Linked DNA regions of Stegostoma tigrinum. The protein of the gene in region 2 interacts with the protein of the main gene of each other region in a biochemical or structural test. Links are inferred from orthologs where the notes say so. Each region holds a gene or a part of one and is shown on either strand. Other genes may lie near its edges.

Region 1 (10,632 bases), on a different chromosome or scaffold from region 2:
GGCGGGATGAGGTTAGTAGGTAGGAAATGAAGGTGCGGCTTGAGGTGGGAGGAAGGGATAGGGGAGAGGAAGAACAGGTTAGGGAGGCGGGGACAAGCTGGGCTGGTTTTGGTATGCAGTGGGGGAAGGGGAAATTTTGAAGCTTATGAAGTCCATGTTGATACCATTGGGCTGCAGGGTTCCCAAGCGGAATATGAGTTGCTGTTCCTGCAAGCTTCGGGTGGCATCATTGTGTCACTGCAGGAGGCCCATGATAGACATGTCGTCTAAGGAATGGGAGGGGGAAGTTAAAATGGTTCGTGACTGGGAGGTGCAGTTGTTTATTACGAACCCCCGCAGTGGACGAGAACGCCCTTGACCGCGTCTCTCGCATTTCCCGCAACACATCCCTCACACCCCGCCCCCGCCCCAACCGGATCCCCCTCGTTCTCACATACCACCCCACCAACCTCCGGATACAACGCATCATCCTCCGACATTTCCACCATCTACAATCCGACCCCAACACCCAAGACATTTTTCCATCCCCACCCTTGTCTGCCTTCCGGAAAGACCCCTCCCTCTGTGACTCCCTTGTCCGCTCCACACTCCCCTCCAACCCCACCACACCCGGCACCTTCCCCTGCAACTGCAGGAAGTGCTACACTTGCCCCCACACCTCCTCCCTCACCCCCATCCCAGGCCTCAAGATGACTTTCCATATTAAGCAGATTTTCACCTGCACATCTGCCAATGTAGTATACTGTATCCACTGTACCCGGTGTAGCTTCCTCGACATTGGGGAAACCAAGTGGAGGCTTGGGGACCGCTTTGCAGAACACCTCCACTCGGTTCACAATAAACAACTGCACCTCCCAGTCGCAAACCCTTTTAACTCCCCCTCCCATTCCTCAGACGACATGTCCATCATGGGCCTCCTGCAGTGCCACAATGATGCCACCCGAAGGTTGCTGGAACAGCAGCTCATATTCCGCTTGGGAACCCTGCAGCCCAATGGTATCAATGTGGACTTCACAAGCTTCAAAATCTCCCCTTCCGCCATTGCATCCCAAAACCAGCCCAGCTCATCCCCTCCCCCCACTGCATCCCAAAACCAGCCCAGCTTGTCCCCGCCTCCCTAACCTGTTCTTCCTCTCACCTATCCCTTCCTCCTACCTCAGGCCGTACCTCCATTTCCTACCTACTAACTTCATCTCGCCTCCTTGACCTGTCCGTCTTCCCTGGACTGACCTATCCCTTCCCTACCTCCCCACCTATCTTCTTTTCTCTCCACCTCTGGTCCGCCTCCCCCTCTCTCCCTATTTATTCCACAACCCTCTCCCCATCCCCCTCTCTGATCAAGGGTTTAGGCCCGAAACGTCAGCTTTTGTGCTCCTGAGATGCTGGTTGGCCTGCTGTGTTCATCCAGCTCCACACTTCGTTATCTACACAGTAATAACCTACTCAGGTCACGGGCTGGAAATTGAGGGAAACAACAGGCTCCCCAAAGCCCGTCAGCCATCTAGAAGGCAAATATCAGGAGTATGACAGAATACATTCCACCTGGCTGGATAAGTACAGCTTGAAAAACTTGAAGTCATCCTGGACAAAGCAGCTCATTTGATTAGCACTCATTCACCAACATTACTCTTTCTACAAGTAACAGAGGGGCAGCTGTGCATACCATTTGCAAAATGCATTGCAACAATTCATCATGAGTCCAGTGACAACTTCTACACCACAATTTTTACCATTTTGAAGGACATGGGCAACAAATACAAGATACACCATCATGCGCATTGATTGTAACTACACCACCATTCCTTGAATGTCACTAATCAAATATTGAAACTCCCTTCCTCAGAACAGTGTATTTGCACCAAATGGACTACTGTTGTTCAAGGCAGCTCACCAACTTCTAAAAGACAACAGAGATTAGCTATAAATGTTAGCCTGGTCAGAGAGGCTCACATCAAATGAGCTTTAAAAATTGTTTAGCTTACTGCATAAAATACATCGTACGTCAACATAATTACCTCAGCCACTGACGCTGGATAGAGGGGACATTTTCACCTGTTTGTCTCTTGACAAATTTTTTTAAAAGCTACTGGTGAATTTCAATGAAACTTGGTACACTAATCGGGCATGGCCCAATGAACAAATAATTAGGTTTTAGCAAAGATACAGATTAAATTCTGGGTTTTTTTTAAAAAATCAGTTGAAAAGAAATGACAAATTGCCTCTTTTCTTTAAGAAATGAAAGGACTCAGAAGCAAAAAGCAATGGCCAAATAGCTAAAAGGTGAGAGATAATGGGAACTGCAGATGCTGGAGATTCCAAGATAATAAAATGTGAGGCTGGATGAACACAGCAGGCCAAGCAGCATCCCAGGAGCACAAAAGCTGTTGTGCTCCTGGGATGCTGCTTGGCCTGCTGTGTTCATCCAGCCTCACATTTTATTATCTTAGCTAAAAGGTGATGTTGGCTAATGAAGAGGAAAAGGCAGGAGGAGTATTAAGGCCACACAGTTGGGTAGACCACATGCAATAAAAACAAAAGATTCATGCAAATAATAACAGTACAGAAGTGCAAGACGATAACACTAAACAAGACTGCCTTTGCATTTTTTTGTGGGGCAAGAGAAAAATATGCCTACAAAGGACAACTATGTAAAATATTCATTCTGCTGCTTAAAAACATAATTAGATTACAGTACAATTTGCTCAAATTAATGACCATCTCTATGACTCTATTATAGTGACTCTTCACTTACCCTATGAAATTATAATCATTTAATTTTCACTCTCCATCCAAAAAAAATTTAATTTCCTCACTGATATTTGAAATTCAAGAACTTGGTCTCGAGTATAATTTCAACAGAAAAGTAATACTCGTATATTTTCTTGCAACTTTAAGAAACTATTAGTACAATATACAGTAATGTCTATGTACAATTAACATAAAATATCTTAATTTATTGGTATGATATAAAATTCAATGATTTTAACATTAGCTTGTCATGCAAATTATTTAGAATCAGGATTTTTGAACATCAATAAGTCTACTTATCAGAAGTTTAATTTAAAAGTATCAATTTCAGCACTTTTATATAACACCCAATAAATATACAAATCAAAGTGCATCCATATTAAATGTTATTTGTTACAATAATCTCAAATTATGATGCATTTAAAAAATAAACTTGGATACAAAATGACATTCTATCAGAAAACTTTTTAAAGAAATTTATTACGCCCTAAGGAGGCAGCTTTATTATGTCTAAGGATATAAATTAAATCACCGAAAACTAAAACAGCTTCGAAGTCTGTGAACTACCCTTGAGTTTGGCAAAATCTAGGTAATAGCTCAACGATCCAGCAGCTGCTGTTCTCTTGTCGAGAACGGAACCCAGCATTCAACCCCCACCCCCAGCTTCACTATCATCTGATCAGATTTCATTGTAGCCACCGACAATCTCGACTCTCTTCCCGGGAAATCACACACACCTGTCCCTTTCTCAGGTCTGTTCTAAGGTTGGAACAAACAATATTCGGGAACTAGACATTTCATCCTTTGTTCCTCAAAGCAAAAAAAAACATTTTGATCATCGCCCCCGCTTGGCACAGCGCGCAATGAATAGCCGCAACTACAACTGCGGACGGGGCACAGTACCCACTTCCTAAAACTTTCCACCTCAATTTGTCTCCCTGTGTCCTCCTTCCTCCGCAGCCATTCCGTAAACACAGCCTCTAACCCACTGGAGTTTCGGGTTGGGCCGGGCCGCAAATCAGGAAACCACAGCCCGAATAAAGGCGGCTTCCCCGTGGCCTGAGATGGAGAGGGTGCAAATGGCCGAAATAAAACAATCCAGCTGAGATGACGGGAGGTTTGAAATGGCAGGCACCCCAAAGGCCTCTGCAGCCCGAGTGGGGGCAGCGGGGAGAAGGCAGCTCCCGGGGCGACGCCATGTCCTAGACTTCAGTGGAAAACTTCACAAAACCGCCCGCATTGAGCGCCGCAACCCTTACAACAATACTCCCAACCCGCCGCTGTTCTCCCTGTACCTGGAACTCGACACTTTTCTTATCTTTTTGCTTGGTTTTTTTGTTTCATTTCTTTTTTCCCCTCCTCTCCCGAACTTCCCTCTCGGATCCAGAGAGGAGCTGGCGACGCTCAGACTGCAGGCGGAGCACAGGGAGAGAGTAACCCTCCGCGAGATGGGGGAGGGGGCGGGAAGGCAGACTAGGACATCAAGGATGGGCGGGGGGCTAAAAGAGAGTGACATCGAGGATGAGAAAGGAGAGGGAGGGACATCGAGGATGAGAAAGGAGAGGGAGGGACATCAAGGGTGAGGAGGGGGGTGGGAGAGGACATCAAGGGTGAGGAGGGGGGTGGGAGAGGACATCAAGGGTGAGGGAGGGTGAGAGAGGGGGGCATCAAGCGGGAGGGGAGGTGGGAGAGGAGTACATTGAGTGGAAGGAGGGAGGGATATCAAGGATGCGAATGGGCATGGTGGGGAAGAGAGAGACATAAAGGGGGAGAGAGGGACAACACAGTGGTTAACATTGAATAAACGTTTATTGCATGATTAGATATGAATTAAAAGCAAATTTAATACCATAGCTTGAAAAAAAATGTCATGTTGATGAGATAATAGTGTGAAGCTGGATGAACACAGCAGGCCAAGCAGCATCAGAGGAGCAGGAAAGTTTCACGTTTCGGGTCGAGATCCTTCTTCAGAAATGATGACTTGATTTGGGCAGACGTTTTGAGGTTGCTCTGTTGTTAATGCAGGGGCTGAGGCTTGGATTCATCATCACCACCATCACCTTCAAGTACAGTTGTGGTTGCATGGTTAGAGTGAAAAATAGTTAATCCCGGTGGCTGTGGTTCATTGCCTTCTGACTGTTTCTTTGGGGGTGGGGGGTGTTGACTTAAAAAAATCCCATTTTTACTGCTTTGTCCTTTTTCTTTTTTTCATGAAGCTGTTTGTAGGATGCAAAATAAGATCTTATCCTACGAACTGCTACCCTGCTGTGTTCTGCATTGTAATCTATGTCCTCTAACAGCTACAACTGCTTCTCAATTTCCTTCAGGAAAGAAGACAAAACAGAAGTGGAAAGCTCTCATGGTGCTGTATCCTGGACTTCATCTTCTTCACCTCCAGCTTCCACTTTGCCCTCAGTGACAAGTTGTTGTAAATCAGCTGTAACAAGATGTTCACAGTCAGAGTCAAGCAGCTCTTCAACATCTTCACTCTCCACTTCTTCAAATCTAACTTGCTTTGCAAGATAAACACAATGTTCTTTGATTCTTGGGAATTCCTCTCTCAGATCAAAGCCTTTAAAATCTTTTAAAAATCTGGGAGAAGCTTCTGCCAAACTGCATGCAAACCGTTCCTAATGACATCACCCCTCAGGCCTCTGCGATAATGTCAATTGCATCCTTGATGTTAAAGCTTTTCCAAAATTGAAGAACACTGTCCTTATCCCACTCAGTGGCTGCAATTAGCCTCTTAAATGTGCACCTTAAATAATAAGCTTTAAAAGCTGCTATTGCACCATGGTCCATGTGTTGAAGTAGAGAGTTGTGTCTGGGGATAGAAATAGCATTTTGATGTTATCAGAAAGCTCACTAATGGTGGGTGGATGGATTGGTGCATTATCCAGAATGAGGAGCACCCATGGAATTGCATTATAGCCAATGCAAGTCCGTGTTTTAAAAATAACGTTCCCCTATTTGTCGATCGCATTATAGACAATTCGCATTGCTGGAACACACATAGCAGAACCAACTGTACATCTCAACGATTCTATGAGGAAAATAGTACTGGGAAACACAGTTCAATAGCACCTTTGGTTTCCTAAATCTTTCTACTTTGCAGGTTTCTTATCCTTTACAAGTTCTTCATGCCTGCACAGAACAACTTCTACACTAGTGATTCAGTCTTTCCGTCACTGGTTAAAGGTAATAGCTTATAGTAAATGCAAGAGAATAGTTAGCTATCTTCCAGCGCTTCCATTTTTCACCTTCCAGTTTTGTGTACTTCGCTGCACTGAGATTTGGACATTTTCTGTCCTCCATTCTGGAGGTTCTGCATCAATGTTGTTGTGAGGAAGGATCACCAGATCCGAAACGTTAATTCTGTTTTCTTCTTCGCGTATGCTGCCAGGCCTGCTGAGCTTTTCCAGCAACTTTGTTTTTGTTCACACCCTGTCTGTTCACCTGCCCAACAGCCAGAGGGTTATGTCATGCTGAGTAAAATGGTAGCAGTGCAGTAGGCAATGTTCAGGCTCATCTTCTTTGTCTGCATTTATTTTCCTTTATCTTTATCCTTCTACTGCTTCTTTTTTCTCAGACTTACCTGATAAAGAGAGCTCTTTGGCAGGAGGCAACTTCAATGGGCTCCAGAGCAGTGGCGGCATCTTCAGAGGATGCATGGCTATAGAGTCGGTCGATCAACCTGTGAAGCCTGGAGAGTAACTCTCACTTCCACATGGAGTGGGTTCCTGGTGATGGCATGGCATGTGCTGGTAAGCCCAGAGTGGGAGCCTGGTAGTGCCATTGCACAGAAGGAAAAGTTAGAAACTCTAAGTTATCTTTTTTAAATTGTATTCTATGTTAATGTGAATGGTGCCCAAATGTGATGACAGTACACACTTTTTACTGTATTTTATGTTGAATAAACATGATAATAAAGGATATTCTATTCGGATGACTCCAGGCTTCTGCAACTGATCCTCAATATGTAAAACAATCAAATCCTGTCTCTAGGTGAAACTTACTATGTGCATACTTATTGGCATAACAGCATCTTGAACATTTTTCGCCACTGCTTGAACAAAGCAACAGAGTAAATACAAGTCACAATGAGTTCTAATAACTTGTTTTTAAAGGTACAGCAACTCGTTCCACAGTGCTCGGTTTAAAGCAGACCTTTTCTCAACTTTGTCCACAGTCCAAAATAAAGAGCAATAAAAAGAGTGGCCTTTATGTTCCTTTACCTTTACAAGAGACGAAACGCTGTTTCAAAAAAGCATTTCATCACAAGGTATACATCACATAAACAATAAAACATGAGACTTATTACTATTCATCCTTTGTCCCCTGTTCTGATGCCCGATACAATAATTCAGCATTTCTTAAACCTTTAAAAGTTCTAACATTTTATTGTCAGAACAATGCACCTCTGATCATGTTATCTTTACCAGTAATGTGAATAACCTTAATAAACAATTGAGTCACATTCTATTCCAATGAGGGTTCTCTCCAGCTGAAGAAGGATCATCTAGTCATTGGAACCAAGGAACAAAGACCACTGAACTGACATTCCAATTTTTATCCTTCATCCAATAATCTATTTTTCCCCATTTGTTTGTGTCTGTGTGTGGAGATCTTAAGGGGATTAGAGTTTGATTCATAGTGTTACATGCAAATGATTAATACCTGTTTACCTGTAGTTATAATATAATTAATTGTAATAAATAATCATTCTTGGTTAGTACAGAAACTTGGTCCATACTTTTGATCAACCTTGGCCTGTAAGTCAAGTAAATTAGGTTTCTGTGCACACTTTAAAAAACACTTTTAACATTCGGTATGATGCTGGAAGTAGTGGGGCTCGACTTACAATGTTGGTTGTAACATATTGTTGTAAAACCAGAAAAATGTCCACTTCTTATAGTTTACACTTCTTAAGTAATCTTACTAGATGCTCCCGTTGGTCTTCTTTTAAATACAAGAACACTGTCCTAGTGTTGCTGTGTTGGCTTTGTGTCTGATGTTCGCTTTATAAACTTTGCCTTTCTTTTTACCTCAATCTTTTTGTATCTGTTAGTCTCCATTATTCTTACCACCGGGCACACATCCACATCCCTATCCTCTTCCCTGCAATGATATTGCTTCAACACCTTTACATGACAGAACTGATTCTTCTTCCTGTGATCATAAGTATCTATCAGGTAAGTCACTTTACTAATCCTAACTACCCTTGTATGGACCACTGAACTTTGTTTTCAGAGTTTCACATCACAAAGCCAATCATCTAATCCTTCATATCTTTGAAACACATTCTAATTATAACATGATCATTTTAACTTGTCTTGTGCTACCTCACATACTCATCTGAGTCTTTCCAGAACCATGGACATGTAATTCAACATTGAGGATTCACATTTTTGCCTTAAGAGCTTTTCCTTAGTCAATTTTGATGGATTATCTTATGACCATACATCAGTTCAAATGAATTAAACCCAGAAAAGTAATTTGGGAAAATCACTTGTAGCAAATAGTAAGAAATCAATAGCTTTGTCTTAATCCTATCAGCGTTCATAACAGCATGCCTTAATCGTGGTTTTGAGAGTGTGATACTATCTCACCAAAGCTCCATGAGTGCATATGAAATATAGTTCATAGAATCATTACAGTGTGGAAGCAGGCCAGTTGACCCATCAAGTCTACACTGATCCTCCAAGCACATCTCAAACAGACCCACCACTCCTCTCTGTAACCTTGAACTTCCTCATGGCTAACCCAAGTAGTCCACACATTAGGAGCAAATTGGATTGTAGGAGGAAATCCACACAGACACAGCAGAGTGTGCAAACTCCGCACAGACAGTTGTCTGAGGGTGGAATTTAACCCAGGTCCCTGGTGCTGTGATGCAGCAGTGCTAACCACTGAGCCACCATGTTGCCCTCTTCAATTGACTTCAATTGTTTTAATCCAAACTACTGATAATGACCTGGAAATCTATAGATATCAAGTTAGAATTGTGATCAGATTAAATTTTAATTTGTTGTCCATACCAAGTATAATAGCATCCTGAATCAGTCTCAGCATCAGTATGAGATTTATGTGCGAACTTAATTAACTGTGGATCTGCTGTTTGAACCTAAATTAATGAAGACACGCCAAACACATCTTTTGAATTATTCCTGTTCTTAAAGAGCGTTTTGATGACTCTAACATCTGCTGGTGTTATTACCTTTGCCTCTGGTGGAGGTATTTCTTTAGGCATTGCTCTGGTCACCAAACACAATAGAAAAATACCTGGAACCTTGTAACTGTTCTGCCTCTTTAACCTCACTTGTGCTTTCGATGAAAATAGGGAGAGTTATAGCTTTCATGCCAGCTATCCCCAAGATTTTACTCCAATCACAGGTTGTTTTTAATGACCACAACTACTACTGGTCCAGACAACAACATACATTCCAATCAGAATCTGTACAATGGAATCAGGATACACTCTCCACTTTTCTAGCACCCCAGCTTTCATTGAACTCCCTTGGACTGAATCCTTCTCAAACATTAGAGTTTGAGTAGCCCCATATCCTTAACATATAGCTCTAGCATTTGATGCAAATGGAATTACTTTCCCTTTAGGGAAAAAAAACATTTCATTACACTATTCACCTGTCCTGCACTCGTAGCAATATTTACCTATGATTCTTTAGATGTAGTTATATTTGATCTATGGCATTTTTCAATGTGTTCTTTTTTAGATACATTCTGATGAAGCCAAAATGTTCCATAGACTTCCTCACAACTTCCAAGATTCTAAATAAATGTGTCCCGTTTTATTACAGTGGAAACACTTAGGCCTTCAATTTTCATGTCCACCCTCAGTGCTTTCCTTTCTAAGTGGAGATGATGATGTAGGGGCATCTCCAGTTGTCCATTTTTATCCTGTCTACTTGCCCTCCTTGCACTGTCCCACTTTCTATCCCTTTCAAACATATGAAGGCGATCAAGAAAAGGTTTAGTTTCTGGATAAGCTCATAATCATCAGACATCATTGCTGCCTGTCTAACTGTTGCAATCATTTGATCTTCAACATGGGTTCTTATCACAAATAGACTTCCAATAGACTGTTCACTCAAAGGAATTTATGTATGGTGTCAACTTACAATGCTCATAATCACCTAACATACAACAAGGAACAACGTAAAGCCACGTGGCACTTTGAGCCTACTCCACCATTCAGTAAGATCATGGCTGATTGGATTTTAACCTCAACGCTACATTCTTACATATTCCCGAAAATCTTTCTTCCTCCTAGTAATCGGAAATGTATCTATCCTTGCTTTAAAAATATTTTAAAATTCTGCTTCCACTGCTTTTTGAGGAAGGGAATTCAAAAGACTCAACCCTCAGAGAAAAAATGTTCCTCAACTGTTTTAAAGGGACATCTCCTTATTTTTAAGCTATGACTCTTAGTTCTAGACTCCCACAAGAGGAAACATGCTTTCAACATCTACAGGATCAAATCCCCTCAGGATCTTACATGATTTAATTAAATCATCTCTGACTCTTCTAAACTCCAGAGGATACAGGCCTAGCTTGTCTAGCTTTTTCTTATAAGACAGTGGTTTTAAAACCATGCACCATGGTGCGCCGTGAAATTTTGTACAGAGGTAACAAAAATAAATAAGCTTGAAACATTATTGAATTTGATCCTTCTTTACTTGTTGTGTATACTATGTTGCAAAATTTGCTAGTAAGTCTGTAACCATAGTAAATCTAATTCAATGTGATATTTATGAGCAACTAATTTAGCTGAAAGTTGATTTGCCATGGAATTGTCTGCCTCAATGAAACATGCCGTGCCACTGAAAAGATTGTAACCACTATTATAAAGCAATCTGTTCATTC
Region 2 (10,744 bases):
ATTCACATTGTCTTCTATGGGCAAGCCAATTCTGAATCCACATGGTCAAGTTTCCGCGGAGCCCATGCATCCTAATCTTCTGACTAAGTCTACCCTGAAGGATCTTGTTGAAAGCCTTCCTAAATCCATATAAACAACATCCACTGCACTACCCTCATCGATCACCTTCATCACCTCCTTGAAAAATCCAATCAGGTTAGTAGGACGGGACCTGCCTTGCACAAAGCCATGCTGACTATCCCTAATTTCCAAATGTTTGTAAATCATACTGCTAAAAATTCTCTCCAATAACTTCCCAACCACAGAATCATTGGTCTGTAGTTTCCTGGATTATTCCTATTTCGCTTCCTGAACTGAGGACCAACATTAGCTATTGACAAGTCCACCGGGCCTCTCCAGTGGCTAGCAAGGATAAAAAGGCCTTGGTCAAGGCCCCAGCAATCTCCTCTTGCCTCTCTCAATACCCTGGGGTAGATAACATCGGACCCTGGGGACTTATCCACCTTAATACCATTCAAGACATCCAACACGACTTCTTTCTTGATCTCAAAATGCCCTAGCATTCTCCACACAAATCTCACTATCCTCTATATTCTTTTCCCGGATGGATACTGATGCAATGTACTCATTTAGGATCTCACCCACATTCTCTACCTCCAAGCATAAGTTTCCGCCTTTATCTATGAGTGGTTCTACCTTCTCCCTATTTGTTCTCTTGTTTTTAAATCTATCTATAAAATGCCTTGGGATTCTCTTTAACCCTACTTGCCAAGGTCATTTCATGACCCCTTCTTGCTCTCCGAATTCCCTGCTTGAGTATTTTCCTGCCTTTTTTTTATACTCCTCAAGGGAGTCTGATTTTAGCTTCCTACATCTTACATATGCTTCTTTTTCTCTTTTGACAAAATTCACAACCTCCCTCATTATCGAACGGTCCTTTATCCTGTCATCCTTATCTTTCTGCCTTACTGGAACATGCTGGTCCTAAACTCTTATTGGAAACAATTCCCACATGTCAAATGTGGACTTGCCTGACAGCAGCTCCTTCCAGTTAACAACCTTTAGCACCTGCCTAATACTGACATAATTTGCCCTCCCCCAGTTTAGTACCTTCCCATAGGGTCCTAACTTATCCTTTTTCACATCCACCTTAAAACTTTCACTGTTACCAAAATGCTCTCCCACTGAAAGGTCAGTCGCCTGGCCAGGCTCATTAGCCAATACAAGGTCCAGTATGGCCTCTCTTTTAGTTGGATTATCCACATACTGTTTCAAGAAACTCTCTTGGATGCGCTTAACAAATTCCACCCTATCTAAGCCACTTGCTCTACGAAAAGTCACCCACTAGGGCAACTCTGTTTTTATTGCACCTTTCCATAATCTGCCTACATATTTGTTCCTCAATCTTTTGGTGGCTGTTGGAGGCCTAAGGTGTAATGCAAGCAGGGTGACTCCATACATCTTATTTTTGAGCTCTACCCATATTGCCTTAGTGGATGAGCCCTCCTGCATGTCCTCTCTGAGCAGAGATGCAATATTCTCCCTGATTAGTAATGCAGCTCCTTCCATCTCTTTTACATCCCTCTCCACCTTGAGTAAAACAACGAAACCCTGCAATGTTGAGTAGCCAGTCCTGTCCCCCTCTCAACCAAATCTCTGTAATGGCCGCAACGTCATAGTCCCATGAACTGATCCAAGCTCGAAGCTAACCTGCCTTACCTTTAATAGTCTTTGCATTGAAATAAACAAACACACGTCTGCTCATTAGTGCCATCCTGTTCATTTACATGTCTCTGCCTGCCCTTTCTTTCTGATTTACTGATCCCAACATCTATCTTCCCCTCAATCCCTCCACTTTCTGGCCTGCAGCTCTGGTTCAAAGTCCCCTTGACGTTCGAGTTTAAATCGTCCCAAGTGGCACTAGTGAACCTCCCTGTGAGGATGGTGGTTTCTCTCCAATTTAGATGCAACCTGTCCCTCTTGTACAGGTCACCCTTGCCTCAGGAGAGGTCGCAACAATCCAAGAACCTGAAACTCTGCCCCTGCATCAGCTCCTTAGCCACACATTCACCTGACCTACCTTTCTATTTCTTGCTTCACTAGCACGTGGCACTGGTAGTAACTCAGTGATTATTACACCTCAAGGTCCTGCTTTTCAGCCTCTTTCCTAACTCCCTGTACCCATTCCCAGGACCTCATCCTTCTTTATACCTACGTTGTTGGTAGCAAAGGACACCACGATCTCTGGCTGCTCATCCTCCCCCTTAAGAATTTCATGCCACCACTATGAGGTTTATAATTATAAATTTATTGTTTATAACATTAATACATATTTATGATTATTTAATGCATTTCCCAGCCCTACCAAGATGAGCAAGAACTGCAACACACGATTATGCTGTCAACTCCAAGTCAAACGCCTGAATATATAAACTGAGTATATATATGTTGGCTTCATTCCACTGGCAGGAAATCTTGGAATTCCCTCCCCATCACTATTGAAGGTGCACCACCAGGGATAGGTTGACTCAAGCAGAAATAACCAATTAGGGCTGGGTTACGTTCAAGAACAAATTGAAAAAAATTAACAAGAAATGAAATATAATGGTTAATAAGTACAACAAAAATTGTTTTACTTCATGCAAAAGAAGGGAACTTGAAAAAAATGCAAAATACTAAAATAAAACAAATAATGAGGAAAGGGGGAGCAAAATTTTGGAAAATATATCAAAAATTTACAGATACTGCATTTGAAGTACCCGTTGATCAACCACTACAAACCCTGGAGGTTTGGAAAATATATGATATACAATTTGATTTGAAATACTTAGTTTGGCCTCAAACTAAACTCAGTTATGTTCTTAGTGAATGCAAAATATTAAAAGATTTAGACATTGAGACATTTTGCCAATCTGAACTGGTAAGAAATTCAACTTAACGGAATCAGAACGAATGAAAAGTAAAGTTGAGTAAAATATCTTCACGCATAGGAACAATTATTTATCTCCTGCCATGGTGACCTGATTTTTGTCCAAAGCAATAACCACAGATAAAATGTAATCAGTTTAAATTATTAATATTAAAAACCTTCAGAGACCATGTGAAGTCCCACGTTATGTATTCATCCCTGACATTTAAATACAAGGCTAACAAAACTACTTAAGTCGATGTTAGGAAAGCGCTGACAAAACTGTAGTTATGATGCTTTCTTAGGCAACTAGTTGAAAACATGACGATTTGTTTGAAAAATGTTGGGAAAACAAGATACAAACATGGAGGCACCACTCACACCTCCAACAATTCAGTGCATATTTAATCTGAATCAATGATCAACACTGACTGACATGTATCCTATTGGGCAAAATGAACACTGTGAACTTTAAAATTCAGCTGTTTAAATAAAAAAAACATTTTATATACATTTATACTTCACACATAAAGATTTATTTATAAAATTAGTCAATCTAAAACCAAATTAAACGCTCAGGTTTCCTTTTACCAGCCGTCCTTGTCTGTTATGTGGTAATACTGTACATACAGCATAAATACAAAATATTAGACTTTACTTTTAAATGCATCTGACAGTCTGTAGTACCAAGTTCACAACCGAAGGGTTCAATACTCAGTGTATGTTGAGTTCTCCAAATCTCGTTGCACACATCAGCGGCTGAAAACATTTCCACTGTTGTGTAACATTGAATCTGGGCTACACATTTCCCAACCACAGTACAGCTGGTTGGAGTGTTTCACTGCAATAATAAACCCTCAGTGAGATGGACATTTCCCCATCAATGGCTGACTGAGACAGGAAGTGGCCAGTGCGCACGCGCCGTTCGCCTCCCTTGTCTGGACCGACGGGGAACAGCCGCCGCCTCCAGACCGGCAACAAGCAACTACCACAAACAACCGCGGAGCTGCCTTCACAGACTCTCTGTCACATCTCCAGCCGGATCCTACGGTCTCCAACCTCCACTGACGTGTCGGCGACTAAAGAGACTTCAAAAACCTGCCCGAAGTGAACTTCTCTTACCTGTCAGCCGGATTTTAATGCTTGACCCGTTCCGTCGAGCTCCGGGATTCGACATTCCTTAGAAAAATTCCCCTTTTTTCACAGCGGGGTGGTCGTTTCCTGTACGCTGATGTTCAAAATATATAACAGATCGACGGATCTTTTGCCTTTCTTAACAAAAAAATTATTGATCTATGAACAGGGGTAAACACTACACGGACCCACAACGTTCGCACGAGACACAACTGACGGCAGCTACAGCGCGCGCTCCCGCGTGGCGCGCTGACGTCACGGCGCCGTGGCCGCGGGCGCGCCTCCGCGTTGAACGAGTAACCCGAATAAGATGCTCCTAAGATGCTGCTTGGCCTGCTGTGTTCATCCAGCTTCACACTTTGTTATCCTGGCTGCACCATCATGGTTTTAGTTTATTTAAAGAAGAGGTTTGCACAATTTTTTCGACTTTCGTCTTATCTAGATTCAATCAAACCTGCTGCAATATTTTCAATTATTTCACTGAGCCAGGCAATCCCTTTCCCATTTGCTGAGTTTCAGGTGACCAGGCCAACGCGGTCTGTGGCCAGTCAAGTCCAACACCGAGGTTTGGAGTAAAGCCTCGGATCAAGAGGTTGGATCCCTGGGTCGTTGTGGTCCTGGTTTGTCTTGAATCTGTTCAGCCCAGATCACTGCCTAGTTAGTTCAAAGGCTGCCCGTATTCTCTAGACTTTAGAAGAATTGGGGTGGAGGTGAAGAAGCCCCTATAAAATTTCTGAGATGGCTACGTAGGATAAATGCAGTCAGGAGGCTCTCAATGACTGAGAATAGGAGAAAGTTCTTCACTCAGAGTGGTGATCTTGTGGAATTCTCTGCCACAGAAAGTAGTGGAGGCCAGAATTTAATGTTTTCTGGAAAAGGTTCTTAGGGCTTGGGAGAAGGAGGGAACAGGGTACTGAGTTGAATGATCAGTCATAATCATTTTGACTAATCAGCCATAATCCTGTTGAATAGTAGACCTGGCTCAAAGAGCTGAATGGCCTACTCATGCTCCTGTTATCTATGTTTTTATTCCAGAGATGAAGTTTGTCACAGGAAACATGTTGGTGACTTCCAATCTTTACTATTTATTGATCCAAAAAAAGTCTGCTCGTATAAATGAATGGACGAAAGAAATTGTCATCAAAATTAAATGTCTCTTTTCCAGACTGCTGGAAAGATTTCCTGAGAGATATTGGGAACTGCAGATGCTGGAGAATCCAAGATAATAAAGTGTGAAGCTGGATGAACACAGCAGGCCAAGCAGCATCTTTTGTGCTCCTGAGATGCTGCTTGGCCTGCTGTGTTCATCCAGCTTCACACTTTATTATCTTGGAAAGATTTCCTAATGGCTCAGATCCTTAAAATTAAATTATATTTTCAGTGTCCGGTATGTTCCCACCACATCCTCATCACTATGCCCAGCGATTACAGACGTTAAAGTTTACGGTCAAGACCACAAAAGACAAGCCGAACCGCAAGCTTTCTACATCTGCTATTTCTGTGTTTGTTATTGTCTCCAGAAGTTTCAGCACATGACCTCTGTCTCCCAGGGTCCCACTCCTACCCTTTACTAGGTCAACCAAATGCACAAAAGACTTAGGTTTATATTGTGCTTTCCATAACTGCAGAACATTCCAAAATTAGTTAATTATAATATTTGCCAAAACATACAATGCATCAGAATTTTAAAAAAACTACTTGGATTATAGAATCCCTACAGTGTGGAAACAGGCCTTTCAGCCCAACAAGTCTACACCGTCCCTCTGAACATCCTATGCAGACCCACCCCCCCCTCATCTACACATCCCTGAACACTGTGGGTAATTTAGCATGGCCAATCCACCTAGCCTGCACATCATTGGTCAAATATTTGCTAATCAACAGACTATAAGACATTCACTTTCCAAAAGACAGTGGATCTTAAAGTTTCATATTTGCTGAACCATAAGTGCACTTACTCATTATCATCACGTTGGAAATTCACTTAAATAAACAGAGCACTACAAAGGTCCAACAGCGTTATGGTGATGATCAGATAGACTGTTTTTGGATATTGCTCGAGCAATAAATGTTGGTTATTTCTTCTTATCTCTTCTTTGAAATAATAGCCCAAGAAATTGTACTGCCATCTGAAAGAAACAAAGTGGCGCTCAGTTTAAATGTTATATATCTGCAAGACTTCAGACAGTGCAGCTTTCTGTCAGTACTGCTGTAGAAGGTCAGTGCTTGTTTTGTGTTTAAGAAAATTTGTGGTTTAAGTTGGGAAGGTTCCCTAAGTCTTTGTATTGTCAATCTGAATTGAAGCTATCTGGCCTTGGGAGTGGACTGGAAACCTATGGATTGAAGGGAGCTCTCAGGAGAGTCCTTACAGAATCAGGCAAACAGAACCTCCACCTCTGTGGAATTCCCTTAAGCCTTGTGTAGAATTCCCCTTGTGCCAACTATCAACCTGAAACAAAAACAAATTTGTTTTAGCTGATTTCACCACGCCGCCACCACCAAACATTTTGATCTGTTCGAAACAAAACACTTGGCAATGCTGATCCTTTTGATGCTGTGCTGCATTTCAAAGTTGCCTGCTAAATTTTGGTATTTCTCAGTTTGAAGTGGTACTTAGGAAGAGTGATTTGTATGCACAATACCAAAAAGGTAAAACTAACCAGGACCAGTTCACATATGTCAGACTTGGAAAATGATGCAATGTTAAATATTCAGGAATATTTTAAATTTAGTGTTCACTGGAATCACTGATCAAGATAAGTTTATTTTTAAAAAAACCGTAGATCTATCAAATTGGCAAGGTTGATAATTTGTAAAATTGCAAATTTCAGAGATTGAACACACGGTACGTTGATTAGAAACTGACCCGAAAGGAAGCCACAGTTGATTTATCATCGTACAGACCAAGCTCCCCAGCAGATATTTAAATAGCGGTAGAAGAGGTAGTTAGATATGAGGAGAGATATGCAAATTAGATTCTGGGATTTGTCATCTTCCCACCTGCATAGGTCACAAAGCCTGGGAGAAGATACAGGGGAGATTTATCATCAACAAGATGAGAGAACCAGGGATATAAGACTCCAGAAACCAATCTGGAGCAACCATATAAACGGTGGCCACCAGAGCAGGTCAGAGGCTATGAAGCCTGCAGCAAACAACTCATCTCCCCACTCCCGGAAGCCTGTTCACCATCTATAAAGGCACAAGTCAGGAGTGTGATGGAATGCTCCTCCACTTGCCTGAATAGGTGCAGCTCCAACAACATTCAAGAAGCTGGACTTCTTGAGTGTTGTGTCTTTTAGTGTAGATGCACAAAGAACTGCGGATGCTGGTAATCTGAAACAATAAATCAAGTGTCTTGGTAAAACAAAGCAAGTCTGGCAGCGTCTGTAGTTAGAAAACAGTTAACGTTGAGTGCAGTGACCATTGATCAGAATGGTTCTGATGAAGGGTCACTGGACCTGAAACATTAACTGTTTTCTCACTACAGACGCTGCCAGACCTGTGTTTCTCCAGTTCTCCCTGATTTTCTATCTATAAGATGCACTGCAAAAAATTCAGCAAGGCTGTTTAGCACCTTCCAAAATCATGATCACTATCAATCATCGAGAAGAACAATGGGCAGCCAGTACATGGGAATGCTACCACCTGCAAGTTCCCCTCCAAACAACTATGATCATTTTAAATGCCAGAGCAGGGTTAAGGAGCTGAAAAGCCATTTCTTGCTCCTAGTTTCTTATGTTATGTTTGAAACCGCTCCATATCTTAACGTGGAAACAGCTCACTATTCCTTCACTTTTATTGGATTAAAATCCTGGAACTCACCCCCATTACGTTATTAGGGAGCATCTCCACTGAAATGGATTCCAGTCGTTCAAGAAGTCATCACTCTACCACCTTCTTGAGGGCAACTAGGGACAGGCGGTAAATAATGGCTCAGCCAACAACACCGACATCCTATAAATGAGAAGTACTTATGTGGAGAGACGGGAGAAGCTGGCATAGTATTCAATAAGTCAGCGAAGTTAAAAGGAAGATTTAGTAGAAATGGTCAAAAATCATGAAAGGTTTTGACAGCAAATAAGGAGAAATTTGTTATGCAGAAAGATCAGTAATAAGAGTAAAAACAGATTTAAGGAAATTGGTAATGGAACCGGAAGAAACACAACAGAAAAAAAAAGTTATGATGATCTGTACTGAATTTTCTGAAAGGTTGATGGAAAAGGATTCAAATATTAATTTCCAAAATGAAGGGAATTCAAATGTGAAAAAGAAAACATTGCAGAGCTATAGCATTGGGGAGGAAGAGAAGGAAATCTGAGGAATGCTCTTCCCAGCTGCTGTTCAGTGACCTCTGCTGGACAAATGTGTAGCCACAACTAATAATAAACACAGTCTGTGTATATAATGTATTTATGATTTGGAGCGTCCTAATTTTAATTTGTGTTTTCAGCAAAACAATTTCTCTAAGCACAATGAATTTCCAATAAGCTTTGTGTGACACCAATGACATAGCAGATCGCAAGCCTAACAGTTGCCTTTTCATTTTAGGTGTAATCCACTGGAGATGCCTTACATTTTCTGCCCACTGCAGTAAATATCAGGTTTACAGATTTAATTGCACAGCAGTAGAAAGTATAATTAAAATACAAGTGGAAATATTTACAAGACAAATAATGAACCTGCCCATGAGATATTAAACATTATTTTTTAGATCACATTTCTTGCAGATTTCAGGCATTTAGCATGAAATCTTTCATAGGTTCTTTGTGGATACAGGAGTAGCTAAGTTTCTGTCAGAGATTGAAACTGAATGCAGTTTGACACAAAACTGACGGCAATTAACAGTGGCTGCATTTTTTTTTTACCCAAAATAAACTTTCCATAACTGATGTTATCTCCTTTCCAAGATGATCACCCTGGATGGTTCAGATTATTTTCATGAGTTTGTCTGTCTATCTCCCTTAGGTTGCAACCTGGCACATATAAACACATTTTCAATCATGAAAATGTAACACAGGTTAATAAGACCATTACATAAACAAATTAGCATTGGAGAGAGATTGAACTGATAAGCAGAAAATTTAGAATAGAATAGCAATTTATTCTCACTTGTAGTCCTGAAAATATACTGAGATGTGTGTAAGTTGTCACAATGCAGGACCAATTTAATTACAAAAATTAGATTAAAATCTTGAGAGAAAATGTGAGGGCAAAGTTCATCTTTTGTTCCCTCCACAGCTCCCGAGTGTCTAAGAGACAAAACAAAACTGCAATGCTGGAATCCCAGGTAGACAAACAGGAGGCTGGAAGAACACAAACAGGCCAGACAGCATCTGGAGGAAAGGAGCGGTCAACATTTCAGGTATTACCCTACTTCAGGACTGGATGTGGGGGTAGGGGGAGCTGCAAATAGAGTGGGGAGGAGTGGAAGCAGAATGGTGGTGATAGGTAGACACTGGTGGTAGGTACAACCTGGTTGGTCTAAGGGGTGTATGAATCCAGTTGGTGGCTGGAAGAGAGGGTCAGAAGGTGGAATTGAAGGGAGGACATGGGGCTGGAAGGGAAGCCAGGGGATGGGTGGCAAGGTTATTCAAAATTGGAGAACTCAGTGTGGAGTCCTCTGGGCTGTAGGGTGTCCAGGCAGAAGATAAATGGCGCTGTTCCTCAAATTTGCATTCTTAGTCACTGCAACACTGGAGAAAGCTGAAGAGAGATGTGTCGGAGGGGGAGTGGGATAGGGAGTCGAAATGGGTGGTGACCCCATGATGCAGAACATCTTTCACTCCCCACTCTTCTCTGCCTTCCGCAAGAACCATTCCCTTTGTCATGCCTTAGTTCACACCACATTCTCCACCAACCACTCCAACCCCAGTACTTTCCCCCGTAACCGTAAAAGATGTAACACCCGCGCGCCACACTCACACGCACACGCACACTCCATTCAGGGCCTTAAACAGCCCTTCCAAATGACAACTGCATCTCCTCCAACCTAGCTTAGCTTGTCCCAGTCAATTTGGTGTTGTCTCAAATTGGTGCTTCTCATTATCCATGTGGATTGAGATGAGTGTGTTTTGGTCGTGTCTTTTTGTAGCCAGTTGGTGTTCATGTTCTCTTGTTGTTAGTTTCCTTCCTGTTTGTCTGATGTAATGTTTCTCCCAGTCTCTGCAGGGGATCTGGTAGATGACATTGGTCCTGGCCATGCCAGAGAGTGGGCCTTTCGTTCGGGTGAGCAGTTGTTGTAGGGTTGACGTGAGCTTGTGTGCCACTGTGATGCCCAGTGGTCATGGGAGTTTTGTGGTTAGCTTTGATGTGTTCCTGATGCTAAGCAGAAACAGGCACAGGAATTCCTAGAAGCCTGGTACTCCTCAAAAGAAAGCCATTAATAAACACACAGAACTCGACCCCATATACACTCCACTACAAAAGGAAAACCAGAAGAAGTGAGGCAATCCAGCCCAACAGACTCCAGAGTTTAAAAACCAGATGGGAAAACACACCGACACTTCAGAGGCTGCACTAATGATGTTACCCAGCAGAGAAATGAAACTAATGAAACGTCTAAGGAACAACAAACCAGCCCGGCGAGGCAACCAGCCTCAACAGCCATAACGCGAGCTACAAATCGACTCTAAAACCTTTGAAACAGTGTTTAATGGATGATAATGTTAGAAACAATGAAAATTAGTCTGATGCCGCTCC

Evidence for each region. The genes of interacting proteins can lie anywhere in the genome.
Region 1: of the proteins of smurf1 (region 2) and mothers against decapentaplegic homolog 5, one has a biochemical effect on the other in vitro, tested with the Homo sapiens proteins (3 studies listed by BioGRID, with this or other methods). The link is inferred for Stegostoma tigrinum from reciprocal best matches to the Homo sapiens genes SMURF1 and SMAD5.

The regions. Positions count from the first base shown.
Region 1 is NC_081366.1:34,599,898-34,610,529, reverse strand, and holds the start of mothers against decapentaplegic homolog 5, read right to left. Parts: upstream 4,222-10,632; 5' UTR 4,044-4,221; intron 1-4,043. UniProt on the Homo sapiens protein: Transcriptional regulator that plays a role in various cellular processes including embryonic development, cell differentiation, angiogenesis and tissue homeostasis.
Region 2 is NC_081376.1:11,651,888-11,662,631, reverse strand, and holds the start of smurf1 (E3 ubiquitin-protein ligase SMURF1), read right to left. Parts: upstream 4,281-10,744; 5' UTR 4,086-4,280; coding exon 4,031-4,085; exon of another isoform or gene 3,872-4,030; intron 3,791-3,871; exon of another isoform or gene 3,568-3,790; coding exon of another isoform or gene 3,567-3,567; intron 1-3,566. UniProt on the Homo sapiens protein: E3 ubiquitin-protein ligase that acts as a negative regulator of BMP signaling pathway. Mediates ubiquitination and degradation of SMAD1 and SMAD5, 2 receptor-regulated SMADs specific for the BMP pathway.